Lonchura striata: one gene and its partner. The protein of the gene in region 1 purifies or fractionates together with the protein of each later gene. This does not show direct contact. Links are inferred from orthologs where the notes say so. Each region holds a gene or a part of one and is shown in the gene's direction. Other genes may lie near its edges.

The links. Proteins that work in one complex are often made in the same cells at the same time.
Region 2: the proteins of MED9 (region 1) and MED25 purify together in Homo sapiens (co-immunoprecipitation; 3 studies listed by BioGRID and IntAct, with this or other methods). This does not show direct contact. The link is inferred for Lonchura striata from reciprocal best matches to the Homo sapiens genes MED9 and MED25.

The regions. Positions count from the first base shown.
Region 1 is NC_134618.1:15,400,224-15,407,762, forward strand, and holds the start of MED9 (mediator of RNA polymerase II transcription subunit 9), read left to right. Parts: upstream 1-4,444; coding exon 4,445-4,581; intron 4,582-7,539.
Region 2 is NC_134640.1:2,261,025-2,268,872, reverse strand, and holds the start of MED25 (mediator of RNA polymerase II transcription subunit 25), read left to right. Parts: upstream 1-4,780; 5' UTR 4,781-4,837; intron 4,838-5,021; 5' UTR 5,022-5,046; coding exon 5,047-5,180; intron 5,181-7,329; coding exon 7,330-7,375; intron 7,376-7,848. UniProt on the Homo sapiens protein: Component of the Mediator complex, a coactivator involved in the regulated transcription of nearly all RNA polymerase II-dependent genes.

The DNA.
Region 1 (7,539 bases):
AGCTGCCTCACATGGAGTTTTCACAGGCTGCTCATTCAAACCCTTCTGTTGAGGAACTGATTAGCGGGGGAAAAAATCCAGAATGAAAATTAGGGAAAACTGCAGCGTACCACCAGCTCCTCCTGAGAACAGTGGATGGGCTGACACGGCCCTCCCATCCGAGATGGAGACCTCAACAAAACTGTCAAAGGATTTGGGAAGAACTCCATTATAAGGACATAAAAAGGTCACCAAAGTCACCCCCTTGGAACAAAGGTCTCACTGCTTGGAGCTCCATAAGGACGGATGAAGATTTGGGCACACCAGCACTGTTCCTCACCTGAGGTGAACATTGTGCACACCCACAATGCATAAAATCAAAAGCCTTCTCTTCCCTGCCAGGCCTGTCAGCTGCTCTCAGCTCTCCCTGCTGCCCTCATTAGGGGTATGAACACACTGTCATGCTACAGACCACAGCTCTACTATGCCTTCGTGCAGGCTGACACCACACTCTCATCTGACCAATTCACCAGCATCTCCAGTGGTGGAGGAGCCTTTCAAACTTTAACCAGACTGTGAAATACCTTTGCTGTCCCCTGGACTTGCCACAAGACACGACAAGCCCCAAAGGACAGAGATGGGTCACCTGGGGAAGCTGGAGGAGCTGTTTCCACAAGGAAGAGAAGGCAAGAGGCAGGGACACATCACCTAGACCAAGCTGTGTTCCAGCTCTTTGGGAACATGACACTCCAAATAGAAATGGAAAGGCAAAAAGAAATGCTGATTGACAGCACTTTAGGTACTGAATGGTATCTGCATGTTGTCACCTGCTGGAACAACTGCCTGACTCAAATATCAGAGGCAGGCATCCAGCAACCCAGCAATTATTGCTGCCCTCCTCCAGAAAGCCAAGGGGAGAATTAAAACCAGCACAGTACTGAGGGGAGTGTCCCCCATGGAGCCTGAATCAACTCCTGCTTTAGAAACAGCCCTTAAAAAGAGGCAGAAATGAACCATTCAGCCCCATCTGAAGGACACAGCATCCTGTGCCTCCTGCTTGGCTCAGTCAAGGGCCATAAATACCACCAGCCTTCCCACAGGGATCTGCTCAGCGGAACCTGGGCTCCCCCAGGCTCCTTTACACATTCCAGCATCAGTTACTGAACCAGGATCTATTCCTGACAGTAGGAACAAAGTGAGTGATTGCATCTGCTATATTTAGAGCAAACAGCCAATACCCCCGCATTTAAATGGTTGCCAGCATTCTCATTAGATGTATAAATAGCCTCTGTTTGTTTTCAGAAAGAAATTGGTTTAAAAAAGAAAACTACCTTCCTAGTCCTCAGCCTGTAACCATTGAGCAGGGAGGCCTATTTCATATGAAAAATTAAATAATGCTTTTTGTCTAAGCCAAACCAGGAAAAAAGCTCTCAGCTGTGGCTGGTATTATCCATGCTGTGATGCTTTGTGTGGGTATAGGGGTTTGAACACAAGGGCAGCACTTAACTGAAGCAAACTGAGGCTGCTTGCTGCAGAGGGGCATCACCCTCCCTCTCCCAGCCTTGACCACTCACCATCCCGAGCCACCTCTTCCCCCTGCAGGTCAGTCACACCAGAGCTCCCTTTCTTCACAGAATCCCAGAATGATTTGGGTTGGGAAGGACTTTAAAGATCACCTGCTTCCAATCCCCTGCTATGGGATACCTTCTGCTAGACCAGGTTTGCTTCAGACTTTAACCAGCCTAGCTTTGGACACTTCCAGAGATGGGGCAGCCACAGATTCTCTGGACAACCTGTGCCAGGGCCTCACTCTCAGAGGGAAGAATTCTTTCCCAATATCCCAGGTAACCCTGCCCTCTGGCAGTGGGAAGCCATTCCCCCTTGTCCTGTCACTCCAGCCCTTGTCCAAAGTCCCTCTCCAGCTCTCTTGGAGCCCCTTTAGGCAGTGGAAGGGGCTCTGAGGTCTCCCCAGAGTCCTCCAGACTGAGCACCCCCAGCTCTCTCAGCCTTCTCCTCTTCTTCTCCCTCTCCCAGCTCCACAGCAGTCCCAGCCCTGACATCACAATTCTGTTCTTCCTCCAGATTCCTCCAGTCTCCAGCCCAGGCTCTCATCCAACACTCCAGCTTGCTTTTCCTGCAACTGATGCTGGCCATGCTTCCTCCCTTGAGCAGAAAGTCTGGTCCCACATAAACATCTGTCCTTAAGGCATTTCAAGGATCACATCCCCATCCTCCAACCCATCCAACCCCCATTTGCATTAAAGTCAAACTGAGGACCCCAAACAACAAAAAAATACATTGGAAAGCTGGGATATAAGAGACAGCAAAACCCCACTTGTAGTTATTTACACAGAATAATGCAATTTCCCCCTCAGATTTGGCTTGCAAGAGAGGGATCTATATAGACTTAGGACACCAAGTGTGCTGAGGGGCTGGGAGCCACAGCGAGGCCACGGATAGCTCCTGGGACCACCGGGTGATTCCTGGGATCCCTGGATGGTTACTGGGATGTTTTCTGGGACCTCTGGATGGTTCCAGTAGTCCCTGAATGGCTCCTGGGTCACCTGGATGGTTCTTGGCACCCCTTCTCTTCACCCTGCCCTTGGGGTGCGGGATTCCACAATCTCTGCTTCCTCCAACCCCCCACCTCCTGTGTGGGGCTCGGGAGGGAGGTGGGATCATTGTGGGGGTGTCAGGGGAGGATCCCTGGGGATCGCAGGGGGATCACTGAGGGGTGCAGGGGGGTGTAGGGAGAAGCAATGGGGGCACAGAGATGATCACTGGTGGAGTCTCAGGATGATCACTGGAGGTTTCTGGGGGGAACACTGAAGGATCTCAGGGGGATCACTGGGGCACAGGTGGGATCACTGGGGAGGCACATAGAAGGTATCACTGGGAGGGATCATTGGAAGTTTCAGGGGGATCACTGAGGGTCTCAGAGGGATCACTGGAGGTCTCAGGGGGATCACTGGGGTTCTCTGGGGGATCATTGGATGCTTTAGGAGGGATCACGGAGGGTCTCAAGGGGATCACTGGAGGACTCAGGGATCACTGAGGGTCTCAGAGGGATCATTGGATGTTTTAGGAGGGATCTCTGGAGGTTTCAGGATGGATCACTGAGGGTCTCAGAGGGATCACTGGAGTTTTAGGAGGGATTACCGAGGGTCTCAGGGATCACTGGAAGTCTCAGGGTGATCACTGGGGGTCTCGAGGGATCACTGGAGGTTTTAGGAGGGATCACTGAGGGTCTCCGAGGGATCACTGGATGTTTTAGGAGGGATCACTGAGGGTCTCCGAGGGATCACTGGAGCTTTCAGGAGGGATCACTGGGGGTCTTTGGAATCACCGGAGGTTTCAGGGGTCTCTGGGGGACAACTGGAGGTTTTAGGAGGGATCACTGAGGGTCTCCGAGGGATCATTGGATGTTTTAGGAGGGATCACTGGAGCTTTCAGGAGGGATCACTGGGGGTCTTTGGAATCACCGAGGTTTCAGGGGTCTCTGGGGGATGACTGGAGGTTTTAGGAGGGATCACTGAGGGTCTCAGAGGGATCATTGGATGTTTTAGGAGGGATCACTGGAGGTTTCAGGAGGGATCACTGGGGGTCTTTGGAATCACCGAGGTTTCAGGGGTCTCTGGGGGATGACTGGATGTTTTAGGAGGGATCACTGGAGGTTTCAGGAGGGATCACTGGGGGTCTTTGGAATCACCGAGGTTTCAGGGGTCTCTGGGGGATGACTGGAGGTTTTAGGAGGGATCACTGAGGGTCTCAGAGGGATCATTGGATGTTTTAGGAGGGATCTCTGGAGGTTTCAGGATGGATCACTGAGGGTCTCAGAGGGATCACTGGAGTTTTAGGAGGGATCACCGAGGGTCTCAGGGATCACTGGAGGTCTCAGGGTGATCACTGGGGGTCTCGAGGGATCACTGGAGGTTTTAGGAGGGATCACTGAGGGCTTCCGAGGGATCACTGGAGGTTTTAGGAGGGATCACTGAGGGTCTCAGAGGGATCACTGGGGGTCTTTGGAATCACCGAGGTTTCAGGGGTCTCTGGGGGATGACTGGAGGTTTTAGGAGGGATCACTGAGGGTCTCCGAGGGATCATTGGATGTTTTAGGAGGGATCACTGGAGCTTTCAGGAGGGATCACGGGGGGTCTTTGGAATCACCGGAGGTTTCAGGGGTCTCTGGGGGATGACTGGAGGTTTTAGGAGGGATCACTGGGGGTCTCTGTGATCACTGGAGATTGCAGGAGGGATCACTGGCGGGGTGCACAGGCAGGATCACCATGGAGGCGTTTAGGGGGGATCACTGTCAGTTCCGGCGGGCATCACGGGAAGTTTCGGGGGGATGACAGCGGGCCGCGGGGCACGGCCCCCGCCCGGCCCGGCGCTCCGTGAGGGCGGCGCGGCGGCCGTGAGGCGGAGCCGGGCCGGGCCCGCCCCGCTCCGTCACTGCCGGGCCGCCATGGCGTCCGGGCCCGCGGGCCGCGCCGCCGAGGAGCCGCCGCCGCCGGAGCCGCCCGCCGAGCAGAAGCCGCCGCCGCTGCCGCCCGCGCAGGAGGAGTTCTCCTTCCTGCCGCTCGTCCACGACATCATCAAATGGTAACGGCGGGCACGGCCGCCGCCCCCCGCCCCGCCCCGCTCGGCGCTGCCTCGCCGCAGAGCGCCCGGGGCCTGCGTGAGGAGCAGGGCTAAGGTGTTCTCCCAGCCGGTGGCGTTCTCCCAGCCACAGCACCCTCGGGGGTGCAAAGGGATGCCCGCCCCCTTTAGTGATGCTCACCCGGCTCCCGGCATCCACAGGTTGCTTTGGATGGGAAGAAGGCAGTGGGGTTCCCTCGAAGTTGTTTTTTCATCCTTAGCATCCTCATAATGCCTTGAACACGGAGCTGAGTTATTGGACCCTCCCTCAAGTGATGCTCCCACAGCCCTCACTTCCCCAGGATGCCCTGAAGAGGTAGCGGTCACCCTGCAAGTGATGCTCTCCATCCTCCCCAGCATCTCCTTTGCCCTTTTTCTCTCACCTGGAGTTCCTGGGAAGAGTGTTGGAGAGAGCTGGCACAGCCCCAAGTGCATCTCCACTCTGAGTGGTGCCAGGGTGGTGTCAGGGTCACCTGAGCAGTGCAGATGCTCCCATGGCTCAGGTACACTGCCCCACCGCTAACCCCAGAGCAGGAGCACTGTGTGCCCACTGGGTTATTGCTCCAGAGAACTGTGCTCTTTGGCTGATAACAGCCTCAGGAAGCACAGGCAGTGTGTCAGGAATGCAGCCCATTTCTGGGAAGTTGTAAAAAGGGGGATGGCTTCCTCAGTGGGACATACACTGTTCTCTTCCCAGCTCAAGATAAGCACTGTACAGGTGAAAGGTGCTGGTACAAGAATCCTGAGAACTGATGTGTTTCTGGGTCAGGATAACCCCTCCGGAGATGCTCATCTGAATTCCCAGAAAGGGGATGTCTCTGCCATGGAAATCCATCCAGGCAGGCTCTGTGCTCTCACCTGGGCAGGGTGAGGCAGTGGGCATGGGAAGCATGAATTGATTTCTTCCTGCCCTCTCCCTGTGCACTAGCTGAGGAGCTGATTTGTGTCCTGCTGATGCTTCACTTGGAGCAAACATGTCTGAAAGGTGAGGGAGGTTCATCCTTAATGGCTCTGCAGCCCAAGCAGCCCAATCCATGGGAATTAATCCCTTTGACACGCCAGTCCAGAATGGGCATGAGAACACAAACACTGTAATTTCACTCAGTCTCCTCACTGTGCTAGGTGTAGGCCATCAGGCTGCTCCCTAACCTTGATTCTCTCTGATCTGTGCAGACCACAGAGTGAAGCTAAATCCCCTGCCAGGTGTGTGCATGTACATCACCAAAGTGGGCAGTAGCCATGGGCTGAGACCTCCCAGACTGTGATGTGTCACTGATCAGGTTGTAGTGACTCACAGATGACAGTCCCAGGGATATCTTGTGCCCTGTCCCACCAAGCCACCCACTCCTGCTGCCCAGCTACCTCCCTTGGCTTTGTTTTTGGCCTTTCCTGGGTGGCTTGAGCCGACGTAGGGGCTGAACAGTGTGGCAGAAAGGTGGCACCACAGTGGCCAGCGGTGGGATGTTGTGCCTCCTGTCCCTGACAGATGGCAAACGGGCTGTCCTCTAACACAGCCTCGAGTGGCAGAGCCCAGCCCTGCTGCTCTGACACTGACTCAGCTGTGAGGACACATCTCCAAGGTGACTCTGTGCTCCGGAGCGAGGATGTATCGCGTAAATTTGCTGACATTCAAGGATGGGTGCTGTTTCCTGTTGTTTGGGTCTGGAGAAAGTTTTCCTAAACAGAGTCTGCTGATGTTTTCAGCCTTGTACAGTCAACAGCATCACTGCTGAGGTCCCACTGTGTGGCTCTGCCAATGGTGGGTTGTGCTGGTGTAGTGAAGGGCACTGTGCCTTAAGGCAGGTTTTGTGCCCAGTGTATCATTTATCAGGTTAGGAGCTGTGGTTGGATGCTGTGTTGAATCCTGCAGCTGCAGGCTCTTGCCATACCTTCCCACTCCCACATCTCCATGCTCCCAAACGGGGAATCACTTCAGTGGCTTGATGTAGCAGGAAAACTACCCATCAGGAGTAAAAAAATGCACCAACCCTGAAATATTTATCCCTTTGGGTCAACCAGCAACAGGCAGCTGTCAGTTCTCTTTGAGTGGGGAAGGGGATGGGATGTGAGGAGGACACCCCTGTCAAAGCCAGCCTGCAGCTGTGGTGGATGAAAGGCAGTGTCACCCCATCCTTCCCCAGATGTGCCATGGTTGTGTGTGTGCTTCTGTATTTTTCCACTGCCAACCTGGCCCTGAGTGCCTGCATAATGGGGAGACATTATAGTACCAGCTGCAGTTTTATTTAGAAGGGAATAATGAATATTTTGTTCCAACAGGCTTTTGAAACAAGCGGCGGCCATCTGCTTAAAAGTTTTGCTCTCAGCCATGTCACGATTCCCCAAAGTTATAATCGAGCACCTCTCTGCCCTGGTCATGCCAAGCAGATTTATTTTTAGGTCTGGCTATTGAACAGGCTCCCAGTTTTTCAAAGACCATTAGAATCCTGCTCTCCCTATTAACAGGCATCCTGGAAGCGGGGATTTGCTTTTGCCTGGAATCAGTAAAACTTCTTGCTGGTGCTAACAAAGCTGAGTCAGATACTAATGAGGGTTCAAGGGCAGACGCTGCCTCAGACAACACTGAGCCTTGAAAAGCACAGAGCTGGCTGCAGAGCCAATTCTGATGCTCTTAAAAAAAACACCACAAACCAGCCCAAAAAAAACCCACTGCTTCTCTTTTATTAAGTATAAATCCCCAGAGACTCATTTGAAAGCTCCCAAGTACCATTTTCTCTGCCTTTGGACACTCTCTGACACTTTGGGGAACAGTTTCTGTTTTCTGCTGTCAAGCTGTTTGGTTGCATTGATTTTTTTTGTATTACAGCAGCAACAGGTCACGGGTGAGACTGAGATCTTTTTTTCCAGGTGACTACACACAACATATACGCAATCTTACCTTCCCCAAAGAGAGATACAGGAGTT
Region 2 (7,848 bases), on another chromosome or scaffold:
CACGGAGTGGCATGCAAATCAGGGCGCGGAACGCGCCAATCAGGGAGCGGCATGCAGATCAGGGCGCGCGGCGCGCCAATCAGGGGGCGGCATGCAAATCAGGGCGCGCGTCGCGCCAATCAGGGGGCGGCATGCAAATCAGGGCGCGGGGCGCGCCAAACAGGGAGCGGCATGCAAATCAAGGCGCGCGGCGCGCCAATCAGGGGGCGGAATGCAAATCCGGGCGCGCGGCGCGCCAGTCAGGGGGCGGGGCATGCAAATCAGGGCGCGCGGCGCGCGAATCAGGGGGCGAAATGCAAATAAGGCCGCGCGTCGCGCCAGTTAGGGGGCGGCATGCAAATCAGGGCGCGCGGCGCGCCAATCAGGGGGCGGCATGCAGATCAGGGCACGCGGCGCGCCAATCATGGGGCGTCATGCAAATCAGGGCGCAGGGCGCGCGAAACAGGGAGGAGCATGCAAATCAGGGCGCGCGGCGCGCCAATCAGGGAGCGGCATGCAAATCAGGGCGCAGGGCGCGCGAAACAGGGAGGAGCATGCAAATCAGGGCGCGCGGCGCGCCAATCAGGGAGCGGCATGCAAATCAGGGCGCGGGGCGCGCAAATCAGGGGGCGGCATGCAAATCAGGGCGCAGGGCGCGCGAAACAGGGAGGAGCATGCAAATAAGGGCGCGCGGCGCGCCAATCAGGGGGTGGCATGCAGCTCAGGGGGCGGGGCGCGCGAAACAGGGAGGGGCATGCAAATCAGGCCGCGGGGCGCGCCAATCAGGGGGCGGCATGCAGCTCAGGGGGCGGGGCGCGCGAAACAGGGAGTGGCATGCAAATCAGGGCGCAGGGCGCGCCAATCAGGGAGCGGCATGCAAATCAGGGCGCGGGGCGCGAGAAACAGGGAGTGGCATGCAGATCAGGGCACGCGGCGCGCCAATCATGGGGCGGAATGCAAATCAGGGCGCGGGACGCGCCAATCAGGGGGCGGCATGCAAATCAGGACGCGCGTCGCGCCAGTCAGGGGGCGGCATGCAAATAAGGGGCGGTATGCAAATCAAGGAGCGGCACGGAAATCAAGCCGCGGGGTGCACCAATCAGGGGGCGGCATGCAGATCAGGGGCGGACACGCGAATCAGGGAGCGGCATGCAAATCAGGGCGCGGGGCGCGCGAAACAGGGAGCGGCATGCAAATCAAGGCGCGCGGCGCGCCAATCAGGGAGTGGCATGCAACTAAGGGGGCGGTATGCAAATAAGGGAGCGGGACAAGCGAATCAGGGAGCGGCATGCAGATCGGAGGGGCTGCGCCAATCAGGGGGCGGCATGCAGATCAGGAAGGGAAACGCGAATCAGGGAACGGTATGCAAATTAGGGCGCGGGGCGCCAATCAGGGAGCGGCATGCAAATCAGGGAGCGGGGCGCGCGAAACAGGGAGCGGTATGCAAATCAGGGCGCGCGAATCAGGGAGCGGCATGCAAAATCTTGGGGCCAATCCCCAAATTGGGTGATTTTTGGATAATTTGGGGGGTTTTTTTGGGGTGATTTTGGGGTGATTTTGGGTGTGATTTCGGGGTGCTTTTGGGTATTTTTTGGAATGATTTTGGGGTGATTTGGGGGGTTCTTTTTGGGGTGATTTTTGGGCTGATTTGGGGTATTTTTGGGGGTATTTTTGGGTGTGATTTTGGGGTTTTTTGGGGTGATTTTGGGGTTTTTTTTGGGATGATTTGAAGGGGTTTTTGGGTCGATTTTGGGTTTTTTTGGGGTGATTTGTGGGTTTTTGGGGTCCCTCACCTCCAGCGTGTCACGGTCGGGGCCGGGGGGGAGGGGCCAGCAGGGGGCGCCCATCCCCCCCCCGGGGCTCAGCAGCCAATCCAGGAGCGGGAAACAGCCCTGGGGGCGGGGCCGGAAAAGGGGCGGGGTCAGGAAAGAAGGCGTGGCCAGGAAAGGGGCGGGGCCAATCAGGGGAGACAGGACAGAAATGGAGGAGGAGCTAAAACTGGGGGCGGGGTCACCCCAGGACCCCCAAAAATGCCTCAGAGCCCTCCCAGTAACTCCCAGTAACTCCCAGTAAGTCCCAGTTGGCCCTCCCAGTGCTCCCAGTGCTCCCAGTTACCCTTTCCATTGCTCCCAGTCCAAACCAGTTTATCCCGGTCCCTCCCAGTTCCTCCCAGTAACTCCCAGTGCCCCCCAGTCTGTCCCAGCCCCATTTCCAGTGCTCCCAGTAGCTCCCAGTCCCACCCAGTTCCCCATCCCAGTCCATCCCAGTTTATTCCAGTTTATCCCAGTCCCTCCCAGTTTGTCCCAGTCTGTCCCAGTCTCACCCTCAGCTCCCGTTTCAGCCTCTCCTCGTTCCGCACCGGCAGCAGCTGCTCCCGGCCCAGCAGCAGCACCTGGAAACTGGGATGGACTGGGACAAACTGGGACAAACTGGGAGGGACTGGGAGGGACTGGGATGGACTGGGACAAACTGGGATGGACTGGGAGAAACTGGGAGGGACTGGGAGGGACTGGGAGAGACTGGGAGGGAACTGGGACAAACTGTGACAAACTGGGAGGGACTGGGGGGGACTGGGATGGACTGGGACAGACTGGGAGGGACTGGGAGGGAACTGGGACAAACTGGGAGGGACTGGGACAAACTGGGAGGGACCGGGAGGGACTGGTCTATACTGGTTTATACTGGTCTATACTGGTTTATACTGGGCAGGCTCTCACCAAGGCGCCGAAGGCGGAGTCGAGGATCTGGGCGGGGGCGGGGCCAAAGCTGAGCCCAATCAGGGTCAGGCTGGGGGGGGACGACCCCTGAGTGACCCCTGAGTGACCTCTCCCTGACCCCATGACCCCCTGTGACCCCTCCCTGACCCCATGACCCGCCATGACCCTTGAGTGACCCCGTGACCCCCCATGACCCCTCCCTGACCCCGTGACCTGACCGCAGCCCACCCATGACCCTGTGTGACCCTGTGACCCCTCCCTGACCCTGTGTCACCTCCCATAACCCTGTGACCCCCCGTGACCCTGTGACCCCTCCCTAACCCCATGACCCCCTGTGACCCCTCCCTGACCCCATGACCCGACCGTGACCCACCCATGACCCTGTGACCCCTCCCAAGACCCCGTGACCTTCCTGTGACCCCTCCCTGACCCCATGACCCCGTGACCCCCCCGTGCTCCCCACCCTGACCCCATGACCCAATCCCTGACCCCGTGACCCCGTGACCCCCCATGACCCCATCCCTGACCCCGTGACCCCGTGACCCCCAGCTGACCCCGTGACCCCCCCAGTGACCCCTGGGTGCCCCCTGACCTGTCCGGCTGTCCGGCCCAGCCCAGCCGGGCCGTGGGCGTGGCCGCCTCCCGCAGCTCCGCCCCCGCGGCCGCCCCGAAGAGCCACGCCCCGTGCAGGGCCCCGACCAATGGGAACGGCACCTGCGGGGGTCAAAGGTCACCTCCCGAAAAAAGGGGGAGGGGAGGGGAGGGGGGGGCGTGGCCTCACCTGGGGGCGGGGCGGGCGGCAGAACAGGGGGAGGCCGCTGGCCGTGGCCACGCCCACCAGGAAGGCCCCGCCCTCCTCGCCGGACATGGCCACGCCCACTCGTGCGGGACACGCCCCTTTTCGAGCTAAGCCACGCCCCCTTGTAATGGCCACTCCCTCTTAAACCCCGCCTCTTGCCTACAAACCCCGCCCCTTGCTCATAAGCCACGCCCCTTTACTAATAAACCCGCCCCTCGACTTCAGCCACGCCCATTTGTCCTTAAGCCTCGCCCTTTGATATTAAACCCCACCCCTTTGCTCTTAAGCCACAACCCTTTGCTTTAAGCCACGCCCTTTACTCTCAAACCACGCCCCTTTTGCTCTTAAGCCACGCCCATTTGCTAGTAACCCCGCCCCTTTGCTTATAAGCCCCGCCCTTTTGCTATTAAGCCACGCCCCTTTACTATCAAGTCCCGCCCCTTTGATATCAAGCCACGCCTCTTTGCATTTAAGCCACGCCCCTTTAGGGTAAACCCCGCCCCCTTTGCTCTTAAGCCACGCCCCCTTGCTTTTAAACCACACCCCTTTGATCTCAAGCCACGCCCTTTGCTCTTAAGCCACGCCCATTGGATATAAACCCCGCCCCTTGTCTCTTAAGCCACGCCCCTTTGATCCTAAGCCACACCCCTTCGCTTCAAACCACGCCCCTTTGCTCTTAAGCCACGCCCCTTCGCTTCAAACCCCGCCCCTTATCAGTCAAGCCACGCCCCTTGGCTCTAAAGCCACGCCTCCTGATTCTAAACCCCGCCCCTTTTCTCCCAAACCCCGCCCCTTCCTTCCAAACCACGCCCCTTTTCCCACAAACCACGCCCCCTTTCCTCTCAAGCCCCGCCCCTTCCTTGGCCCCGCCCCCTCCCTGCCCGCGCGCGCTCCCCGCTCAGTTGGCGCCACTCGCCGCCATTTCCCGCGCGGGGCACGCCGGGAGCGCCGCGGTTGCCGCGCAACGGCGGAAGGGGCGTGGCTTCCCCTACAACGCGATTGGTCCATGAGTCGCAACGGCGGGAAGGGGCGTGGCTTCCCCTGCAACGCGATTGGTCCATGAGTCGCAATGGCGGAAAAGGCGTGGCTTATTCTGCAACGCGATTGGCCGATGAGTCGTTACTATAGCAATGCGGAAGGGGCGTGGCTTCCTTATTATCCTCTTCAATTCCATTGGTCGATGAGTCGTTACTATAGCAATGCGGAAGGGGCGTGTCTCCTTTCCTCCACGCTGATTGGCTGAGGCAGGCGCAACGCCCGCGTCCCTCCTTTCCGCGCATGCGCCGCCGCCCGGCGCGGACGCGAAGGAAAACCCCTTCCTCCTCTCCGCGCGCCGCCGCCGGTACCGACCCCGGGGAGTTGTGGGGGGGGGGGGAACCGGGAGGGGGGAAGTTAATTAAAAACCCAAATTGCGGCACCGCCAACCCCGTGAGAATGCCGGGCGGGGTTGAGGGGGGAGCTGCGGGCGAGTCGCCGCTTCGGGCTCGGTTCCGGGGAGTCACGGCGTTGTTGTTTCCCCCCCGCAGGAGCCGGCCCCCCCCGCGGGCCGCCATGGTCGTGCCCGCGCTGGAAGGCCCCGCCCCCCCCGCCCTGGTGGCCGACGTGGTTTTCGTCATCGAGGGCACCGCCAACCTCGGGCCCTACTTCGAGGCTCTGCGCAAGCACTACCTGCTGCCCGCCATCGAGTCAGCCTCATTAACATATTCATTAGCTAGTTAATTAGCGGGGCCCTCCCCCTAATAGATAAATGAGGCCCCGCCCCAAAAGAATTAAAGGGAACCCGGTGTAAAGTAATTAATGGGATCCTGCCCCAAGCACTACCTGCTGCCCGCCATCGAGTCAGCCTCATTAACATATTCATTAGCTAATTAATTAATGAGAACCCTCCCCATATAGATAATTGAGGCCCCGCCCCAAAAGAATTAAAGGGAACCCCGCTATAAAGTAATTAATGGGAGCCTGCCCCAAGCATTGCCTGTCTGTGCCATTGAGTGAGAGTTAATTAGCGATTTAATTAGCTAATTAATTAGAGGGACCCCTCCCCATAATGATTAATGAGGCCCCGCCTCAAATTAATTCAAGGGAACCTGTCATTAATTAATGGGAACCCATCATAAATTAATGGGGATCCTGCCCCAAGCACTACCTGCTGTCCGCCATCGAGTCAGCCTCATTAACATATTCATTAGCTAATTAGTTAATGAGACCCCTCCCCATATAGATAATTGAGGCCCTGCCCCAAAAGAATTAAAGGGAACCCGGTATAAAGTAATTAATGGGATCCTGCCCCAAGCATTGGCTGTCTGTGCCATTGAGTGACAGCTAATTAGCGTGTTAATTAGCTAACTAATTAGAGGGACCCCTCCCCTAATAGATTAATGAGGTCCCATCTCAAATTAATTAAAGGGAACCCGTTATAATTTAATTAAAGGGAACCCCGTTATAAAGTAATGAATGGGATCCTGCCCCAAGCATTGCCTGTCTGTGCCATTGAGTGACAGCTCATTAGCATGTTAATTAGCTGATTAATGAGGTAATTAATTAGAGAGACCCTTCCCCTAAATGGTTAATGAGGTCCCATCTCAAATTAATTAAAGGGAACCCGTTATAATTTAATTAAAGGGAAGCCAGTATAAATTAATTCATGGGATCCTGCCCCAAGCATTGGCTGGCTGTGCCATTGGGTGACAGCTAATTAACATGTTAATTAGCTGATTAATTAGCTCATTAATATGATAATTTATTAAAGGAACCTCTCCCTAAATTATTAATGAGGCCCCACCTCAAATTAATTAAAGGGAACCCGTTATAAATTAATTAAAGGGGATCCTGCCCCAAGAATTTCCTGTCTGTGCCATTGAGTGAGGGCTAATTAGCATGTTAATTAGCTGATTAATTAGCTAATTAATGAGATAATTTATTAGAGAGACCCCTCCTCTAATAGATTAATGAGCCCTCGTCTCAAATTAATTAAAAGGAACCCGTTATAATTTAATTAAAGGGAACCAGTTATAATTTAATTAATGGGATCCTGCCCCAAGCATTGCCTGTGTCTCCATTATGTCAGGCTCATTAGCGTGTTAATTAGCGTGTTAATTAGCATGTTAATAATTGGGACCCTTCCCCAAATTCCCCCAAAAATTCCCAAAACCCCCAAATTTCCCCAAAACCCCCAAAAAATTTCCAAAATTCCCCCAAAACCCCTCCAGGACCCCCCAAAATTCTCAAATTTCCCCTAAATTACCCCAGGATTCCCCAAAATTCCCAAAATTTCCCCAAAAATCCCCAAAATCTCCCCAAAAAATCCAAAAACTCCCCTAAATTTCCCCAGGACCCCCAAAAATTCCCCAAAACCCCCCCAAAATTCCCAAAATCCCCCCAAAAAATTCCTCCAAAATTCCCCCAAAAATTCCCTAAAAATCCCCCAAAAATTCCCCAAATTCCCCCAAAAATTCCCCAAAAATTCCCCAAAAATTCCCCAAAAATTCCCAAAATCACCCCAAAACCCTTCAGGACCCCAAAAATTCCCAAAATTCCCCAAAATTCCCCAAATCCTCCAAAAAATTCCCAAAATTTCCCACAATTTCCAAAAATTCCTCCAAAATTCCCCCAAAAATTCCTCCAAAAATTCCCCAAAAATTCCCCAAAAATTCCCCAAAAAATTCCCCAAAAATTCCCCCAAAATTCCCCCAAAAATTCCCCAAATTCCCCCAAAAATTCCCCAAAAATTCCCCAAAAATTCCCCAAATCACCCCAAAACCCTTCAGGACCCCAAAAATTCCCAAAATTCCCAAAAATTCCCAAAATCTCCCCAAATTCTCTTTGCCCCCCCAGGTATTTCAATGGGGGCCCCCCCGCGGAGACCGACTTCGGCGGAGACGTGAGTGGGAATTAAATTAATTGATTTAATTAATTTTATTGGTTTTATTTTATTTATTCTTATCGTAATTTATTTTATTTTCTATTTTATTTTATTTATTGATTTAATTTTTTAAAAATTTAATTTAATTTATTTTGTTGTCTTGTATTACGTTGTATTGTGTTTATTTTGTTTTCTTTATTTTATTTTGTTTTATTCTCTTTTTCTTTTATTTTATGTACTTTAATTAATTCCCATTTTAACTAGCTAATTAACATGTTTATTAATCAGTTTGGGGGCACCCAGTACAGCCTGGTGCCTATTTTATAACATTTAATTGAATATAATTTAATTAATATTTAATTAACCAAAGTGGGGGCCCCCAATACAACTTGGTGGTTGTATATTTTAATTAATTCCAATTTTAATTAGCTAATTAACATGTTTATTAATTAGTTTGGGGGCACCCAGTACAGCCTGGTGCCTATTTTATA